Linked DNA regions of Arabidopsis thaliana. The protein of the gene in region 2 interacts with the protein of the main gene of each other region in a pairwise test. Each region holds a gene or a part of one and is shown on either strand. Other genes may lie near its edges.

Region 1 (6,063 bases), on a different chromosome or scaffold from region 2:
AATTATAATTATCTATATCGTATAAATAAAATAAATACAAGTTACTAAAAAAGACTTTCTCATGAACTTAAACACTCTTTGCAATTAATCAACTAAAATTATCTACTATATTTCTAATTATATTTTAAATAAAATACTTTTAGTCAAATACCCTTTAAAAATAGACATACGTGGTAAACTAAAAGAATATATGAAATAAAGAAATAAAAGTAAATATACATTTAACGGGACCCACTCTTTCCCCATCATGCTTCATTATCATTATCGTTATCATCTTCTTTCTTCCTCTCTCCTCTCTTTCTCAATAATTTAGATTTTTGTGTGATTAAATATTTTAGGTTTCTGCAGAAGGAGACGTTTCCTCGTTTTTGTGCTGTTTGGATCTTCTGACACAATTCACTTTTCCGTATAAGTTTTCAATTTCTCTAATCCCATTATGTATATTTAAAATATTATACTCTTAACCTATTTGAGTGTTTGGAAGAAAAATATAAACTAACGGTAGGACTTTCAAAAATGAAATCTATTCATTTTCTAGAATAAAGTGTTGATGCGTTTTAAGTTTTTATGTGTATGTGGTAATATAAAACTTTGTAAATAAAGTATCTTAGTTAATCTGCTGAGGAAAATAATGAAATGAAATTAAAGAAAAAAACAGTTGAAAAAAGAAAAAATGAAAAGAACTTGGTAACGTAAACATTACTAATTTTATTACTTATAAATCATAATCAGTTCAAAGTTCGTTGCCATCCTCAGTGTACACTCTGAACTTGCTAGATGATAAAAGTCTGCAAGAATAGTAATCCGAAGAATACTTTATGTTCAGGATTGTAGTTATATCAATAAAGAAAGATTTGGATTGAGATGCGTGTGGGATTTCTTTTTATTAAATAAATACAAATATAATGTTTTAAAAGAAAATGATATGATTCTAAATTGGACACGACATACATATCACTATGTCTTGATGTGATAACATTTACTTCATCTATGAAATTATATCGTCTATAAATAACTAAATAAAGGGTGTTTGGTTGTTATGATATGTGGGTTCATTACCTGGTCAATACATGAAAAGGCCAAAGTCATATCATACAAGTTCCTCTGTTTTTCAAGTATACCAATTCTAAATTTATAATAAGATACGTATCACATATATATTACCAAATAATGTATACATATGTCTATGAAGTTGAAATATTTCGAATTTAATATTATCTCTTGTACTGGATGTCAAACTAGAATTTCAACAACAAACAATTATATGCACATTTTCTCACTTAGTTTTATGAATTTTAGCTCCCTATGATATATATGTACTTTGTAACTTATTTATCACCATGCTATATAGTGATAATAACATGAAGTAAAGGTTTTTTGAACATGCAGTATGAAAGAATGCTATGTCTTTTTCTTAATTTATTCATTAATCTTTTTCTATTTAAAAAAACTGTTGAACCAATTGCTCTAGAGTACACTAATTTAAATGATTACATAAAGCTATATCTAAGTGTAGAGTTTAATATCAATTTTGAAAACAAATTCCAACATGGTTGGAATGTCTATTTAGCATATTAAATTAAAAAGATAAGTAATATTAGCTGGTGGTGAACGTAAACACACACACACACACAAATTGTTTTGCGGATACAAGTATATATCAATATATGAATGTAAAATTAAGTTACATTAGTGAATATTTCATGTCCTAAACATTGGTTATTGTCCCATTTAACAAAAAATCCACTTTGGTTATAAGATATACCGACCACAACACTAAAATAAAATAAAATAGAAAGAAAGTGATGAAAAATGGTGGCGTACTAAGGACTGTGGGAAGATTAATGAGTGAAGGAAAAGATGGGTATCTTTTATCTCTCCTTTCTTTATCCTCTCTCTCTTTCAATATATATTAGTCATTTTTATTTTGTTATATATTATTTCTCAGCTTTTTAAATGTATTTTATATTTCCCCTTTGAGCAAGAAAAGAGTTGCAGAGATCTTTGAGTCTGACACAGAGACCAAACTCACATAGCAATCACACACATCTCCACAAACACAGGTATGCATATAAATATATATATATAAGTGTATATTCGTGTGTATGTGTGTGTGTCTGTCTCTCTCTCTTTCTCTTTGATAGAAATTCTCTAATGTAACTTTCCTTTTGCAGCTTGAGATGATCATGAAACACGTGCATCCTCAGATCTCTATCAATCCAGGTTCTTCATCTTTTATAATATTCATTTTTTCTTTCAATTTCTAACTCTATTATTTTATTATTTTATTTTCAATCATGATTATGTCTTAATTTCCATATCCTTCAATCTCTCTTTCTCATAATCCATAATTCATCCCTTCTTCTTCGTCTTCTTGATGTGATCACGATTCTTTTTTTCTTCGCTTCAACTGTATATATATACAGATCTATATTAAACTTATAGTGGTTTTGTTTTTGCTCCTTTTTCATACTTTTGTTTGTTTTTCTATGATATCAATCAGCTTGGTGAAAGAAGGTCAAGAATTGAAAGAGAATCAAAGAAAACGACGTCGTTTCATTCGTGTGTAACAACTACTAATTATACATAGATGGCTGCTTACTTTCACGGAAACCCACCGGAGATCTCTGCCGGATCCGACGGTGGTCTTCAAACGTTGATCCTCATGAATCCAACTACTTACGTTCAGTACACCCAACAAGACAACGACTCGAACAACAACAACAACAGCAACAATAGCAACAACAACAACACAAACACAAACACAAACAACAACAACAGTAGTTTCGTTTTCCTCGATTCCCACGCGCCGCAGCCAAACGCGAGCCAGCAGTTCGTCGGAATACCACTCTCAGGTCACGAAGCTGCTTCCATTACAGCCGCCGACAACATCTCCGTACTTCACGGTTATCCTCCGCGCGTGCAGTACAGTCTCTACGGTAGCCACCAAGTGGATCCCACTCACCAGCAAGCCGCGTGTGAGACGCCACGCGCGCAGCAAGGCCTCTCTTTAACCCTCTCGTCTCAACAGCAGCAGCAACAGCAACATCATCAACAACACCAGCCTATTCACGTCGGATTCGGGTCCGGACATGGAGAAGATATCCGGGTCGGGTCTGGCTCTACAGGATCGGGGGTAACAAACGGTATAGCTAATCTTGTTAGCTCCAAGTACTTGAAGGCAGCACAAGAGCTTCTTGACGAAGTAGTCAACGCTGATTCCGATGACATGAACGCTAAATCCCAACTATTCTCATCGAAAAAGGGTAGTTGCGGAAATGATAAACCTGTCGGAGAATCATCGGCCGGCGCTGGAGGAGAAGGTTCCGGTGGCGGAGCAGAAGCAGCCGGGAAACGTCCGGTGGAGCTAGGCACGGCAGAGAGACAAGAAATACAGATGAAGAAAGCAAAACTTAGTAACATGCTTCATGAGGTAACAACAATACGTATTATATACAATAAGCCTACATATACTGAGTGCTCTCTTATATCACACATGAAGTGGACTTAAAAGTTCTGTCCCTAAGATTTTCAGTCATTTTCACAATTCATTTTATATGTATATTAAGCTATCCTTTTTTTTTTTTGCTCTTCCGATTTCTCAAATTGACAACTTACAAGATTGATGAAATCTTTTTTTTTTTGTCCCTCTCTTAGTAAAGACTAACAACTTTTATAGATTATATTTATGTAGACCGTACACTTATGTTCATAAGACTCACGTTACTTTGTTGGTTGAAAAATGAAAAGGTGGAGCAGAGATATAGACAGTACCACCAGCAGATGCAGATGGTGATCTCTTCGTTCGAGCAAGCGGCAGGGATAGGATCAGCGAAGTCATACACGTCGCTAGCATTGAAAACCATATCAAGACAGTTCCGTTGCTTGAAAGAGGCGATCGCTGGTCAGATAAAAGCGGCCAACAAGAGTCTTGGGGAGGAAGATTCAGTGTCTGGTGTTGGGAGGTTTGAGGGGTCGAGGCTCAAGTTCGTGGACCACCACTTGAGACAGCAAAGAGCTCTTCAACAACTGGGAATGATTCAACATCCTTCCAATAATGCTTGGAGACCTCAACGTGGTCTCCCAGAACGAGCCGTCTCAGTTCTCCGTGCTTGGCTCTTCGAACACTTTCTTCATCCGTAAGTAACCCACTATACACACATGCACTACTTTTCATCACTGGAACACAAACTCAGTCTCTAAGTTGTCTTTCTTTTAATTAGATACCCTAAGGATTCGGACAAGCACATGCTAGCTAAGCAAACAGGACTCACTCGTAGCCAGGTACGTTTCAAAATGATTCTTTCTTGTGTTATTAGGTTACTTAAGAAAGCGTTTTTAAGTAAATTTATTTTCTTTAATTATTTAGGTGTCGAACTGGTTTATAAACGCGAGAGTTCGGTTATGGAAACCAATGGTGGAGGAGATGTACATGGAGGAAATGAAGGAGCAGGCAAAGAACATGGGATCCATGGAAAAGACTCCTTTGGATCAAAGCAACGAAGATTCTGCTTCAAAGTCAACAAGTAACCAAGAAAAGAGCCCAATGGCGGACACTAATTACCATATGAATCCCAATCACAACGGTGACCTAGAAGGCGTCACTGGAATGCAAGGAAGCCCCAAGAGACTAAGAACCAGCGACGAGACAATGATGCAGCCAATAAATGCGGATTTCAGCTCCAACGAGAAGCTCACGATGAAGATTCTAGAAGAACGGCAAGGGATAAGATCAGATGGTGGCTACCCTTTCATGGGTAATTTCGGGCAATACCAAATGGATGAGATGTCAAGATTTGATGTAGTCTCAGACCAGGAGCTCATGGCGCAAAGGTACTCAGGAAACAACAATGGCGTGTCCCTCACGTTAGGTTTACCTCATTGTGATAGCTTGTCGTCCACGCACCATCAGGGTTTCATGCAGACCCACCATGGGATTCCTATAGGGAGAAGAGTGAAAATAGGAGAAACAGAGGAATATGGACCCGCCACCATCAATGGTGGTAGCTCGACCACAACCGCACATTCATCAGCGGCAGCTGCCGCGGCTTACAATGGGATGAACATACAGAACCAGAAGAGATATGTGGCTCAGTTATTGCCCGACTTCGTTGCATAAACCCATCTCTCTAGAAGGAGAAACCGAAACAGGTTATTATATACGTTTCTAGTTTTTAATTAGTATATAGTTTCTCATACCATTGAACCAAAACAAAGAACAAAATTTAATTTTAGTCTTTGGTTATATATGGCCGACGGTTGTATATCGATTTTGTAATTTTTTTTTTTCGTTTCTATTGGGGGATGGATAGGGTTATATATGTATATGGATTAGTTACGTGTAATAGCTTGCATTGGGTGTATACCAAAATATATTTTTACTTTTATTACAATGTAATAATTAATAAGATAGTGAACTGATCTATCAAATATGGAATGATGATTACAGATTAGATCTAAGCTGTATAGATTCCGAATATGACATGTATGCTTAAGCGGCTGGAAACTTATAATATTTTTTGAGGAGTGTTTATGTGTTAAAAGCATATTAAATAAAATTCTACACATTCACAATACAAATATAAAAAAAAACAAAGAAAGCAATCTCTGAAATAAGATCTTACGAACTGTTGAATTGAATTCAGATTTCAAACTTTGTGTATAGTTTTTTTTTTTAAATCAATTAAGATTAACGTTTATAAAACTTGTTATAAATTTTCTTTTCAAGATATATAAAAATGAAAATGTTCAAATCATTTTGTAGAATAGCGTCACCTGCTGAGAGATAAACTTACAATAACAGTAACAATTTTTTTTTTCTGTTATTAAAGACATTGACAGAATATTTATATGAAGACTGCGTGAGAGTGTGAGACTAATTTCGGAGAGGTTTGTAAGAAAAAAGTTTACAAAAACATATGCGAATATTTAATATATATTTTACTCATTTTCGGCCCATAACTTTTTTTGGGCCCAAATACCTTTCTATAGATATTAATAAATAATGAAATTTAGTGAAACACATGAAATATGTTGCGACTATCGGAGCCAAATTCATGAGTC
Region 2 (5,692 bases):
GAAATGGCAGTGAAGGCAGTGGCTGAGGAGAGAGTTTTTTTTCTTCTTTCATGGGGAAAGTAAAACTTTGCCTTGAAGATTTCTCTCTTCAATATTTTTCTAAGACTTTTGATTTCAACGAATCACTGTCCTTAACCTAAAAGCAAGAAAAATTAGCTTTATACTGGTCTTTACTTTTTTTTAACATATTTATTTTTATATAGTTTACTTATAAACATAGACATACGAGTATGGGAATATATAGTATATCCAACTTCTAAATAATATTTCGAATAGTGATAACAAAATTAGCAATACATACGGCTAGTGAAATGTTGATCGAATAAACGGCACTGATGTAATGTACTTATCAATTTTGATAATTTTAATTGTATTGTTTTTCTTTTTTTCCCACAGTATTGAACTAGACAATTAAATTTAAAGTAAAATTATACATTTCTTTCGTTGTGTATTAAAGTAACATGCATAATATCATTTTCCTTCGTACAATCCTCCAAATTGACAATTGATGAATTACTTTGTCAATCGTAAATGAATTTTTCTCAAGTCTGTATACTATTTTCAGGGATAAACAGGTACAGGTGTCCCATGCTTATTCTCTTGATAGTAACATGTGTCCTATGTTGAGTCAATTCTACGTTCGAAGAAGTGCTAACAATTGTTAATAGCCTCGTATATTATTCTAATTAAAATGCCTCGATAGATTTGGTTAGTGGTCTGAATGTGATTGGTTATTTTTTCAAGTGGCAAGAGGTCTACCATCTAATATTACAATCAATCGACCAAAAAGGTCGAGAACATGATAATGGTGGCAAATACAAATGGTTCATTGTTGTCTAATATAACAAGCCATCAGTTGTCACTTTTTAAAAACAATACAGAATACAAGATACTTTTTTTTTAAGGTAAAATGTGTGTTTAATATTTTCGTTTATATAACAAATAAACAGTTACATGTTTTACTCTATGATTATATTTATGACATTTTTCTTCTTCTTAACAACATTTTTTTCCCATAAGAACATTTACAATAGTATTAAAACTTTGATTGCAATCAAATGTTAGATCACTTATTATAAAATTACTAAGACTGCTATCTTTTCCTATTGACAAAAGCGAATCCAATATATGTTACTGAAACAAATGCGTAAATTATACTATATGGAGATCTATCGGTTAATTATTGAGAGAATCTAAGAAAGTTTTTGAGTACAACAGTCCTAATAATATCTTCACATACCATATAATATACATATATACATATACACAAATGTACTTTTTAAACCAACATCAGCATACGTATATCCCATCAGGAAACTTAGACTTTTGGGAATTCATGGTATGAAAACCAAAACCAAATGACAACATTCGATTTGATACTCCCGACCCATGGTAAAGAAATAACAAATTCCAATATATCTTTCACTGGACTTTCCGAGGCACATTCCGGTTTTCTCCATTTCAAGAAATTGTCAAAAATAAATTGAGATCCGGTTTATTACCTCAAAAAAGAAGAAGAGAAATTACAACATTAATTTCCGAAAAGGCATAAATGAGAAATCATATTTCAGCAGAAGAACACAAAAGAGTTAAGAACCCACAGATCACACAACCTCTGTCCATGTCTGCTTTTTACACTTTTTTAAAATAAGTTTCTCCTAAAAAGTTATTTCCTATTTATAATAATTTCCTTAGATTTATCTTCCTGGTCTCTCTTCTGCTGCTTCCCTCTCCCCCATAACTATCACTATTTAGAATTTTCAATGTGGAAAAGGAAGCTGATTGTTGAAGCATAAATCCCGGGAGACCACTTTTGCATTTTCAAATAATTAAATTAAACCATAGATACACACACACAGTTACTTACTCTTTTAGGGTTTCCCAATAAATTTATAGTACTTTAATGTGTTTCATGATATTGATGATAAATGCTAGCTGTATTTACAATGGGGGCTCCTCTTTTTTTTTCTTTATGTTATTTTCATTTTTTATTTCTCATAGCTATATAGCAAAGCCAAAGTGAATAATAATACTAGTGAGAGAAAGAGAAGATGGAGAGTGGTTCCAACAGCACTTCTTGTCCAATGGCTTTTGCCGGGGATAATAGTGATGGTCCGATGTGTCCTATGATGATGATGATGCCGCCCATCATGACATCACATCAACATCATGGTCATGATCATCAACATCAACAACAAGAACATGATGGTTATGCATATCAGTCACACCACCAACAAAGTAGTTCCCTTTTTCTTCAATCACTAGCTCCTCCCCAAGGAACTAAGAACAAAGTTGCTTCTTCTTCTTCTCCTTCCTCTTGTGCTCCTGCCTATTCTCTAATGGAGATCCATCATAACGAAATCGTTGCAGGAGGAATCAACCCTTGCTCCTCTTCCTCTTCTTCAGCCTCTGTCAAGGCCAAGATCATGGCTCATCCTCACTACCACCGCCTCTTGGCCGCTTATGTCAATTGTCAGAAGGTGATGAGAGAAAGAAACTTGAAAAAATTACTTTGAAAGTTTCTTCGTAACTCTAATGATTCTTATTTGATTTTCTTGCACAAAAAAGAAGAGAAAGATTCTAGAAACCCTAATTACCAAACTTTACCTTTTATTTCCTTTTTACATAACCCTTTACTTGATGTCTGAGTTTGATTTTGATATCTACTTTTGTTTACTAGTTACTTAACCCAGCTAAGTATATACAAATCAAAGGATACAATTTTTCCTATATTGAGAAAGTTTCAAGAAACAATTTGTAAAAACCCTACTTGCAAGAGATTATCCAAAATATTGTATGTAGGCTTGAAGATTAGGACATATATAATTATTTCATTTTTTTCTTTACTATATTATATATCCACAATAAACGTGAGGATCCTTATCTTAGTTCAATTAACGTTTTTATGTCTATCATTTACTAATTACACAATTTCTTAAGGTTGGAGCACCACCGGAGGTTGTGGCGAGGCTAGAGGAGGCATGCTCGTCTGCCGCAGCCGCTGCCGCATCTATGGGACCAACAGGATGTCTAGGTGAAGATCCAGGGCTTGATCAATTCATGGAAGCTTACTGTGAAATGCTCGTTAAGTATGAGCAAGAGCTCTCCAAACCTTTCAAGGAAGCTATGGTCTTCCTTCAACGTGTCGAGTGTCAATTCAAATCCCTCTCTCTATCCTCACCTTCCTCTTTCTCCGGTTACTCTCTCCTCTCTCTCTAGTTCTCTGTTTTTTTTTCTTTCTTTTTAATTCATATTCTTGTTAATTATGGCGTCAAATTAAACGTAAGATGAGGAAAGTTGTTTTTTTTCTTTGTGGGTTTTAAGAAAGATTTTCCTTTTTCTGATTTTTCTTGGGTAAATACCCCTTTGATGGTTGTTACTAGGGTTAGTGTCAGATTGTTATATATAGCTTACTAGGTTTACGTGTATAATCTATCTATACATAAGTTAGTGTATGTAGTTGTTTTCATTGAATTAAAACAGTTTGTTTACTGTTTTTTTGTTTTGTTTGGAATTGAATTCATTTGCTTTGGTACAACAACAATCACTGTTCTTGTCTCTTTCTTCTCCGTTTGTTTTGGATCTATTTAATTCAAATGCATCAAAAAGAATATCTGGATCTAGAGTCTGCTCGTCCTTAGATCTATTGCTCAATTTAGACATACACATGTTTTTGTACGTATAATCACATATACATATATCTACACAATGTCATATCACTCTTCTTTTCAAGAATGTAGTTAAGTTTATATAGACACACAAACTCACATCTACTTAACATGTTACTTTGAATTATTTGGATCACTAGCCTATTCTTTTTCATTTCCCTAGACACATGTTCTTGTTGACAAATTTGTCTTGCTTTCACATGTTTAATCAATATAAGGTTATGGAGAGACAGCAATTGATAGGAACAATAATGGGTCATCCGAGGAAGAAGTCGATATGAACAATGAATTTGTAGATCCACAAGCTGAGGATAGAGAGCTTAAAGGACAGCTCTTGCGCAAGTACAGTGGTTACTTAGGGAGCCTCAAGCAAGAGTTCATGAAGAAGAGGAAGAAAGGAAAGCTCCCTAAAGAAGCTCGTCAACAACTGCTTGATTGGTGGAGCCGTCACTACAAATGGCCTTACCCTTCGGTAACTCTCTTCCCTTATACTCTAATTAAATAATCATTTCATGTTTTTAAAAAAGCATTTATATGATAGCAAATTCAATTTAGTTGTCTATTAGCTTGTTTCAATGTTTTTAGTGATTTTTGCATTCATACTATATCGTTAGGGACATTAGTTTATGTTAGCTCATGTTGGCATTGCACAATATGCATTTGCATAATTTGAAATCCTAAAAGCTGAATGAAGTGAACTTATTTAGTCTATGTGTACTGTTTTGGTCTATTAGCCGATGACAAACTTGATTCTTGCTTCCATACCTTTTTTAGGGTCCGAATAATATGTCAATCTTAGTCAAGACTACGATCAATTTCATCTTATGGCTGTGTACCATAACTTAGACTAAACTTTGTTGCACATATTTCAAGTCATAACTTTGGAAAGTAGGGTGCATGAGGCCATACCCTAATGCAATAGTAGCTCATGTCTTTATTACACTTGTATAGTGTCATTACCCATGTTCGTATGAGTAGATGGATTCTAAGTTCTCCTTACAATCTAGCAAATCGTGATGTAGCTGTGATCATGGACTGACCTTATATCGGAGAGAACACTTGATGATTGATTTTTTCTCGCATGTGATATGAAATTGCAGGAGCAACAAAAGCTCGCCCTTGCGGAATCAACGGGGCTGGACCAGAAACAGATAAACAATTGGTTCATAAACCAGAGGAAACGGCATTGGAAGCCGTCGGAGGACATGCAGTTTGTAGTAATGGACGCAACACATCCTCACCATTACTTCATGGATAATGTCTTGGGCAATCCTTTCCCAATGGATCACATCTCCTCCACCATGCTTTGATCGATCCTTTAAAACGTTTATTTCATTATATTTATAATCGTTAAACAGCTTATAATATGTATAATCTATGGTTCTCGGTATACTTGGAACATATGAAACATGTTCCGATTGATGAACAAGCGTTTGATGTTGTGGTGTGTATCCTTTTGTGTTGTTCTATTGTTATGCGAAATTCCTATTCCTATTATAATGATAGTAAAGCTTTTTTGATCTATTCTTTTTATTTGACAACCTTTTTGACAATTTGGACCATTTTTTGGTTGTATGTATATCTTCCTTGCTAATTTTTAAGTATTTGCGTCGAAATTTTGTACTTTTGGGATGGAAAAGACGAAAAGAAAAGAGAGAATGCTATTACTCCAAAAGACCTAGTCTGGCCCAAACAGACCCATCACTATCCCAAAAAGACAAGATCGACCAAAACTTAATCCACTTCTAATAGTTTTGTCCCTTAAAACGCTTTCTGCTGTATGTATCTTCACAAACATATGACTTATCTTGAACCGATTCAATACAGCAGCATTTAGCATTGCTGAGAGTGATCTTTACACATATATACGCTTATAAGCTTCTCAAATTCTTCTTCATATGCTCCTCATCATCTTCAGTTTTCAATAGCCATAATTTGTTCCTACCAAAGACGAATAGTTCCAGTTTCTGCATAGCCACAATCTTCCATTTGTTTTCCCACTTGATCTAACCTGAAACTGGGAC
Region 3 (7,834 bases), on a different chromosome or scaffold from region 2:
ATAGTCCAATTTCTTATAGGCAACAAAAATATTCTAAATTATCCGTTAGCAAAAAATAATATTTATTGAGAAATCACTTGCATTAATTTAGATTAAGTAAATAGTTCAAACAAAAATTTGCGTGCTACACAATTTTCGATTTGGTATCTGATTCTGGCATGATAGATTCCAACATAAGTCTCCATAGATATATATACAAGTGGGCTTTTCACTTTTGCTTTCAAGCCTTCCATTAGTATTTATCCTATTGTGGATTTATAACCTACATAGCATATATCCAACATGTCTCTCTAACTGTTTGTGGGATGGATACGCACGTCAAATCGATTTTGGAAATTTTTTTTTTTTTAATATTTAATATACCTAGGATAATGTAATGACTAATGATACGTTAATTTTAACAGAAAATAATTGTGTTTGTATCTATACAACGTCATTATAATGTATGGCTGAAATTAATTTTATAAGTATAGGTTTAGAAAAAGAGATAGCTGAAGGTGTAGTTGTGAAACTACAGAACCATAAAATTTCGTTTTTTCCATGCATTAGTTGTGTGTGGATGGTTTACATATTACAAACATCGATGATGGTGAAAGGCTATCGGCCGACCGTGAAATCGTGCAGAGGATTAATCTTTGGATTTTAGTAAATATTTTGTAAAGATGATTTGGAGGTTTAGTCATCAGGCATGTTGTCATAACATCAAGGTTTTTTTTAAAACAATGGTATTTTTAAAAATATTATTGTTAAAGGGATATTTTTTAAAATGGGTAATCTAAAAAGCAATTTTAAAAAAATTTCAATAATCTTTGAGTGATAAAGTTTTATTAATTAATATAGATATAAAATAATATTTTGAAAGTTGAGAGTATCGTTTAACACAGAATGAGATATTTCCTAATCAATTAACACAAAATGAAACAACCTCGATTTGCAGCTAGATTTTTGCTTTATCATATCAAGCTTGAGGTAATCTCTAATGCTTTTTTTTTTACGATTTCGTGATGATAGATGTAATATAGCGGTTTCTGCAAAGAAATTTAAAATAATTGATTTAGCCACATATGTTACCAAAATGTAATTATAATTTGATCGATTTTTATGTATTTCATTTGTTTCATATTATAATTTGATCGATTTTTGATATATCGTATGATTAGTTAATTGAATAAATGTACATACATGAAAAAGTAGTCTAAAATGACATAGGTCTCCCCTAAACAACAAATACACACAATATTAAAGAATAAAATTAGAGAGCATCATAGGAATATTATATAAGTATTTAATTTGTCAAATAAGAATATTTTATTTTATTTTATTTTGGCTCGAAATAAGAATATATTGAAGCACAAAAATATGTGGAAGTATTTATGGTGGTGGTTTGGTTCATTGAGATATGACCTTTGGACTCACCTTATCTTCCTATTCTTTTTAGTTTGCTTTCATAAATTAGTTTCCAAATTAACTCCTTTAAAATGTTGATATCAGCCGACATTTCCGTGATAAAAAGTTTTTTTTTCTCTTATAAATAAATAATAACGTTGACAAAAAAAAAAGACAAGAAAAAAAAACAAGGATAATTTCGTAATTTCAGGATGTGTATAGTTTTTTTTTGTCTTTCCTCCTCATCGTTATTGATATGAAGAAACCTTTGCCGATTAAAATTAAAAAGAAGATGTTTATAAAAATACTTCATTATAAAAAAATGATAAATCAAGATTTTAATAACAAAAAAATATTAAAGAAGATTGGTGGGTTAAAAAGGGAGGCGATGAAGAAAGAACAGCGACCTCTTCTTCTCTCTTCCCTCTCTCTTCCTTTCTCTTTGGGAGAGATTTTTTTATAAGTTTTTGGTTTTGCAGAATTTGCTGAATAAAAACTCTCACTAACAGAGAAATATAAAATAAAAAGAGTACTCAAGAAAAAGAAAGCTAGAGAGAGAGGTATAGAAGAAAACGATAGCTATAAGCTCATCATCAATCATTTCTTTAATTCTCTGCAACTCCAAGGTACTTCCTCTCTCTCTCTCTCTCTCTCTCTATACCATATATGTAGATGATGACCGAAGCTGAAAGTGAGAACCTTAAAAGAGTTACAAGAAAGAGATTGGAGAAAAACTGTATAATACCTAGTTGACTCCTCTCTCTCTCTCTCTCTTTCTTTTTCTTGTATTTTTTTTTTGTATGTGTTATATAAGATTCTCTGTGTATGTCTGAATCCTTACAGGATCCAAGAGCTTTGGAAAAAAGATATAATGAATAACAAGATATGGGTTTAGCTACTACAACTTCTTCTATGTCACAAGATTATCATCATCACCAAGGAATCTTTTCCTTCTCTAATGGATTCCACCGATCATCATCAACCACTCATCAAGAGGAAGTAGATGAATCCGCCGTCGTCTCCGGTGCTCAAATTCCGGTTTATGAAACCGCCGGAATGTTGTCTGAAATGTTTGCTTACCCTGGCGGAGGTGGCGGCGGTTCCGGTGGAGAGATTCTTGATCAGTCTACTAAACAGTTGCTAGAGCAACAAAACCGTCACAACAACAACAATAACTCAACTCTTCATATGTTATTACCAAATCATCATCAAGGTTTTGCTTTCACCGACGAAAACACTATGCAGCCGCAGCAACAACAACACTTTACATGGCCATCTTCCTCCTCCGATCATCATCAAAACCGAGATATGATCGGAACCGTCCACGTGGAAGGAGGAAAGGGTTTGTCTTTATCTCTCTCATCTTCATTAGCCGCAGCTAAAGCCGAGGAATATAGAAGCATTTATTGTGCAGCCGTTGATGGAACTTCTTCTTCTTCTAACGCATCCGCTCATCATCATCAATTCAATCAGTTCAAGAATCTTCTTCTTGAGAATTCTTCTTCTCAACATCATCACCATCAAGTTGTTGGACATTTTGGTTCATCATCATCATCTCCCATGGCGGCTTCTTCATCCATTGGAGGGATCTACACGTTGAGGAATTCGAAATATACGAAACCGGCTCAAGAGTTGTTGGAAGAGTTTTGTAGTGTTGGAAGAGGACATTTCAAGAAGAACAAACTTAGTAGGAACAACTCAAACCCTAATACTACCGGTGGAGGAGGAGGCGGAGGGTCCTCGTCATCGGCCGGAACAGCTAATGATAGTCCTCCTTTGTCTCCGGCTGATCGGATTGAACATCAAAGAAGAAAAGTCAAGCTACTATCTATGCTTGAAGAGGTAACGTTTTCACTCAATATTTTTTCTCTAACCAAACTAATTAATTTTCTATCAAACTTTTAATGAACCGTTCTAATGATTGAATTGATCAAACAACCAATTTCATATCAATCGCTACAAAATTTTATTTTTCTTCGTGATTTTTTTCTTCTTATATAATTAATTCTAAATCGACCAATATTTTCATAAACTCTATATATGTTATTTTCTTAAAAAAATAAATGTATAGAGAATGACCGACTGGTACAAGAGCACGACACATGCTCTAGTTGGTAAAGCCTGATTACGCAATCCTACTATCACTTATATAATTTTTCTAACTAATATCATTATATGGTGTTATATGGTCTAATTTGATATATTAATGCATATTTTGTGTCACGCGTTTGGTGGCATCGCTTAATCAAATTTAACATAAGAAATTAATATATGATTGATTAAGTGATTTAGTCTTCACAACCATAAATTTTAAATTAGAGTTTCCTTCTCCATATAAGCTAGCCACCTTCACTACGTAACCAAAACTAGTCCTTGAAGTTACTTCATTATTTATCTTACAATTTATTTTGTAGTTGACATTATCTTCTTTCAAGAATTTAGTATATGTTCCAAGATAGCATAAATTGTTAGCAAGAGAAGATAACACATTGAAGTATCTAAACGAACTAATCACTTGAGGTTTATATTTTATCTTAGAAATTGAGCTAATAAAAAAAAAACAAGAACTCATCTATGTATAGTTCATTTATTTAAAATTTAATTTGTAGGTGGACCGACGGTACAACCACTACTGCGAACAAATGCAAATGGTAGTGAACTCATTCGACCAAGTAATGGGTTACGGCGCGGCGGTTCCGTACACGACATTAGCTCAAAAGGCAATGTCTAGGCATTTCCGGTGTTTGAAAGACGCGGTAGCGGTTCAGCTTAAACGCAGCTGTGAGCTTCTAGGGGATAAAGAGGCGGCAGGGGCTGCATCCTCGGGGTTAACCAAAGGGGAAACGCCGCGATTGCGTTTGCTAGAGCAGAGTTTGCGTCAGCAACGAGCGTTTCATCATATGGGTATGATGGAGCAAGAGGCATGGAGACCGCAACGTGGTTTGCCTGAACGCTCCGTTAATATCCTTAGAGCTTGGCTATTCGAGCATTTTCTTAATCCGTAAGTCCATTTTCTAATCCCTTAATAATACTTACCTACTCTTATTCTTCGATAATACTAATCTTCTTGAATGTTGACTATACATTATAAAATGTAGACTACCATAATGCATTGATACCAAGACTTTAACTAATATACGTTTATTAAACTTAAGTTATGAAAGTGACAAAAAAATTTTTTTTTTTATAACTCTTTTGTTATGCGGGAAGATATATTTCTATTTCAATCAAAATTAAAAGCTGCTGGCTTTTTTAGAAAACCAAAATAATTTTTGTAAAATGAAGTTCCGTTTCTTCACTGAGTTTGATTATTTTATGTTTATTACTACTAATAAAAATTTAAATATCAAATATTTTTTCCTTTTCATACCACCCATAAGAATGGTCAGCTAAGAGTACTCCAAAATAACAAGGGTAACAATTCATTGACTAGGAGACTTTCATGAAAACTGTATGTTTATATTTATATTAATGTAGGTTATATTGCATGGCAAATTAAAGGGTTTAAATAATTAATGCAACAAAAGAAGTTTGCAGAGTGAGATCGCAAACTTTTATGCTTTGGGATCATAATAGCATCCTAAGGGTTTCTCTGTCTCTGCCTAACCTTTCCTTTATAGTTTTTTTTTCTTTAATTTGCTTTAATTCATTCCACATACTATTATCAAAAGAAGTAACAATGCCATTAACATAACTACAAAAAAATAAGTCTCAGATTTGTCAGTGGTACAGTTTCATTGGTATATTGTCCCTTAAGAAAGACAGAAATCAAAAAGAGGAAAAAAAAAATCTAAAAGCTGAAAAAAGCAATTTCTTCTGTCATTATTCATCAGTACTTTCTCTATTTAATGTCTGCAGAATTTTACTATTTTGTTGTTAGTGAAGTAAAGAAGAGAAGAGTTGTACAGATAAATATTTTGCTTTATGATGAAAAATAAGTTAAGATACAAAAATAAAATAAAATGCTTCTATTCTGAAATCAGCTTTTTCTTTTGTCCCTTAGATTCTCACGCCCTTGTAAGGAGAAAGTTTGTACCTTTTCTTGCATCTACTTGATTGTGTTTTTCCTCTCTATCTATATTCAAAAAAAGAGAAAAGAAAAAAATTATTGGTTTAGGGTTCTAAAGATTGTGAAGTCATTTTCTGGTCTCTTTCTCAGGTACCCAAGCGATGCTGATAAGCACCTCTTAGCACGACAGACTGGTTTATCCAGAAATCAGGTCAGCCTTTATCTATATAGATACATACATCAATATTTTTTTAATATAATATGTTTTCATACTTATCATACAAGAACCCTTTTAATTACTCATTTACATATATGTACTTAACTCACAATTTACCATATATATCAATCATTTCATCATGCAAAATCTGACATGAGTGGCTTCATGTCTATTCTCTTGCATGGATTTTCAATATCACGAATCATTTGTTTTTCTTGGGGTTCGTTTTCTTCATTAAATACATTATCTACACTTACACACACAAGGATATATAAAACATAGGAGAGAGAGATGTAAGTATTTCTCAAGTACATGAAAGTTTGAAGCTTTCATTTCAATGTTAACTAGCAGACCTCTAAGTCTTGTACACATTAATTATTTACATCACAAGTAGTTTATTACACTTGGCTTCAAATATCCATTAGTATATTTCAACCTTCAAATTGTTGTTTTAACATTATTATGTTTCATGTGTTCAAATAAAAAAACATTATTATGTTTCAAATTTTTAATTTAGAAATTTCATCTAAGCCTTTCAGTAAATACATAAGTTAACATCAAATCAAAATTACTTGAAACATGTCAAAAGTTATCTTGTTCTTGTAAGAATATAATGAAAAATTTAATATATATCTTCTTTTTAATAGATGTCTCAAAGGAAACACATGTATCATAATTTTTACTCCTTTCCTATCATTTTAACTTAAGGTTTTAGCTATCCTATTTTTTTTGTTTCATTTGTTTAAACTAATTTTCTTCACAGTAAATGACTTATTATTTTAACTTTACTTAATATAAAACAAATGAAGTATATACAAAAACAATCAAAACCATATTTAATGTAAAAAGGAGTATTTCACATTTCATTGAAAAGTTTTTTTTTCCTTCTAAAAGTTAAGTTTCTTTTAATATTATAAACTTGTTAAGAGTAAATTGTGATTAATATTAGTTCATATGTCTCGTTTTTTCAGGTGTCAAATTGGTTCATAAATGCTAGGGTTCGCCTATGGAAACCAATGGTGGAAGAGATGTATCAACAAGAAGCAAAAGAAAGAGAAGAAGCAGAAGAAGAAAATGAAAATCAACAACAACAAAGAAGACAGCAACAAACAAACAACAACGACACGAAACCCAACAACAATGAAAACAACTTCACTGTCATAACCGCACAAACTCCAACGACGATGACATCGACACATCACGAAAACGACTCTTCATTCCTCTCTTCCGTCGCCGCCGCTTCTCACGGCGGTTCAGACGCGTTCACCGTCGCCACGTGTCAGCAAGACGTCAGTGACTTCCACGTCGACGGAGATGGTGTGAACGTCATAAGATTCGGGACCAAACAGACTGGTGACGTGTCTCTTACGCTTGGTCTACGCCACTCTGGCAATATTCCTGATAAGAACACTTCTTTCTCCGTTAGAGACTTTGGAGATTTTTAGTCTTCTTTGTTTCTCAATTTATTCATCAAAATTTATTATAGTGAATTTTATTTTTTTGGTTTATCGATATATGTTTTTAGTTTCTTCACATACTTTTAAAATTTCCTTTCTTCTTTAGTTTTTTTTTCTGTCTTTTCTGTCGTAAGAAGAAGAGAGATATACATATATCAAGTGAGATCTAGCTACCAAAGTTCCATATATAATTATGCACATATTTTTATTTTATTCATGAAACTTATATCCTTACATTTTTGTATAGTTTTGTTCATACTAATTTTTTGTTCATATTAATACCCCTGCCAAATTACTCTAAATTTTGTTTTAGATTATGATTATGTACATATATTTTCTGGAAACTAAATTTCGTGTAGCATTTATTGGATTCTTCCATTTGATTTTTGCTAATAAGCGACAACAGTCTTTTAGGAAAGCGCCAATAAGTCACATCACTTTCCTTGTAATATCAAATTAATCATCTCAACTAATCCCTACTTACTACAACTATGTGCTCCTTAATTTAGTAATAGCAACAAAATATACTTGGTACGTACCCGATCGACTTATTAACAATTGTATTATCTTCAGTTTATAGTAAAATAGTTAAGAAAAACGTGACATATTTGTTTAAAAAGAAAACAAATAATCTTTTGAGTTAGGTTCTTTAGTTTTTTTCTCTGAGAAACAATTATCCAAAACTCCAAAGGTTTGGTTACATGTCATATTGGGGGATATGTCAATCGAGACGGAGACGTTTTAGTTCTACAAAGGGACATTAAG

What was found. Proteins that work in one complex are often made in the same cells at the same time.
Region 1: the proteins of STM (region 2) and BLH1 interact in binary tests that used the Arabidopsis thaliana proteins (3 or more experiments, as listed by UniProt).
Region 3: the proteins of STM (region 2) and BLH4 interact in binary tests that used the Arabidopsis thaliana proteins (3 or more experiments, as listed by UniProt).

Annotation. Positions count from the first base shown.
Region 1 is NC_003071.7:15,088,227-15,094,289, reverse strand, and holds BLH1 (BEL1-like homeodomain 1), read left to right. Parts: upstream 1-1,874; 5' UTR 1,875-2,063; intron 2,064-2,111; exon of another isoform or gene 2,112-2,174; 5' UTR 2,175-2,223; exon of another isoform or gene 2,224-2,503; 5' UTR 2,504-2,590; coding exon 2,591-3,433; exon of another isoform or gene 3,434-3,750; coding exon 3,751-4,139; intron 4,140-4,223; coding exon 4,224-4,284; intron 4,285-4,369; coding exon 4,370-5,119; 3' UTR 5,120-5,528; downstream 5,529-6,063.
Region 2 is NC_003070.9:23,058,082-23,063,773, reverse strand, and holds STM (KNOX/ELK homeobox transcription factor), read left to right. Parts: upstream 1-1,710; 5' UTR 1,711-2,051; coding exon 2,052-2,480; intron 2,481-2,940; coding exon 2,941-3,196; intron 3,197-3,886; coding exon 3,887-4,140; intron 4,141-4,768; coding exon 4,769-4,978; 3' UTR 4,979-5,192; downstream 5,193-5,692. UniProt on the Arabidopsis thaliana protein: Required for shoot apical meristem (SAM) formation during embryogenesis. Negatively regulates ASYMMETRIC LEAVES1 (AS1) and ASYMMETRIC LEAVES2 (AS2 or LBD6). Probably binds to the DNA sequence 5'-TGAC-3'. Binds to RNA.
Region 3 is NC_003071.7:10,107,174-10,115,007, reverse strand, and holds BLH4 (BEL1-like homeodomain 4), read left to right. Parts: upstream 1-2,002; 5' UTR 2,003-2,122; exon of another isoform or gene 2,123-2,229; 5' UTR 2,230-2,271; coding exon 2,272-3,228; intron 3,229-3,995; coding exon 3,996-4,387; intron 4,388-5,389; coding exon 5,390-5,606; intron 5,607-6,583; coding exon 6,584-7,057; 3' UTR 7,058-7,299; downstream 7,300-7,834. UniProt on the Arabidopsis thaliana protein: Transcription factor that establishes leaf shape by repressing growth in specific subdomains of the leaf. Negatively regulates knox homeobox gene KNAT1/BP expression.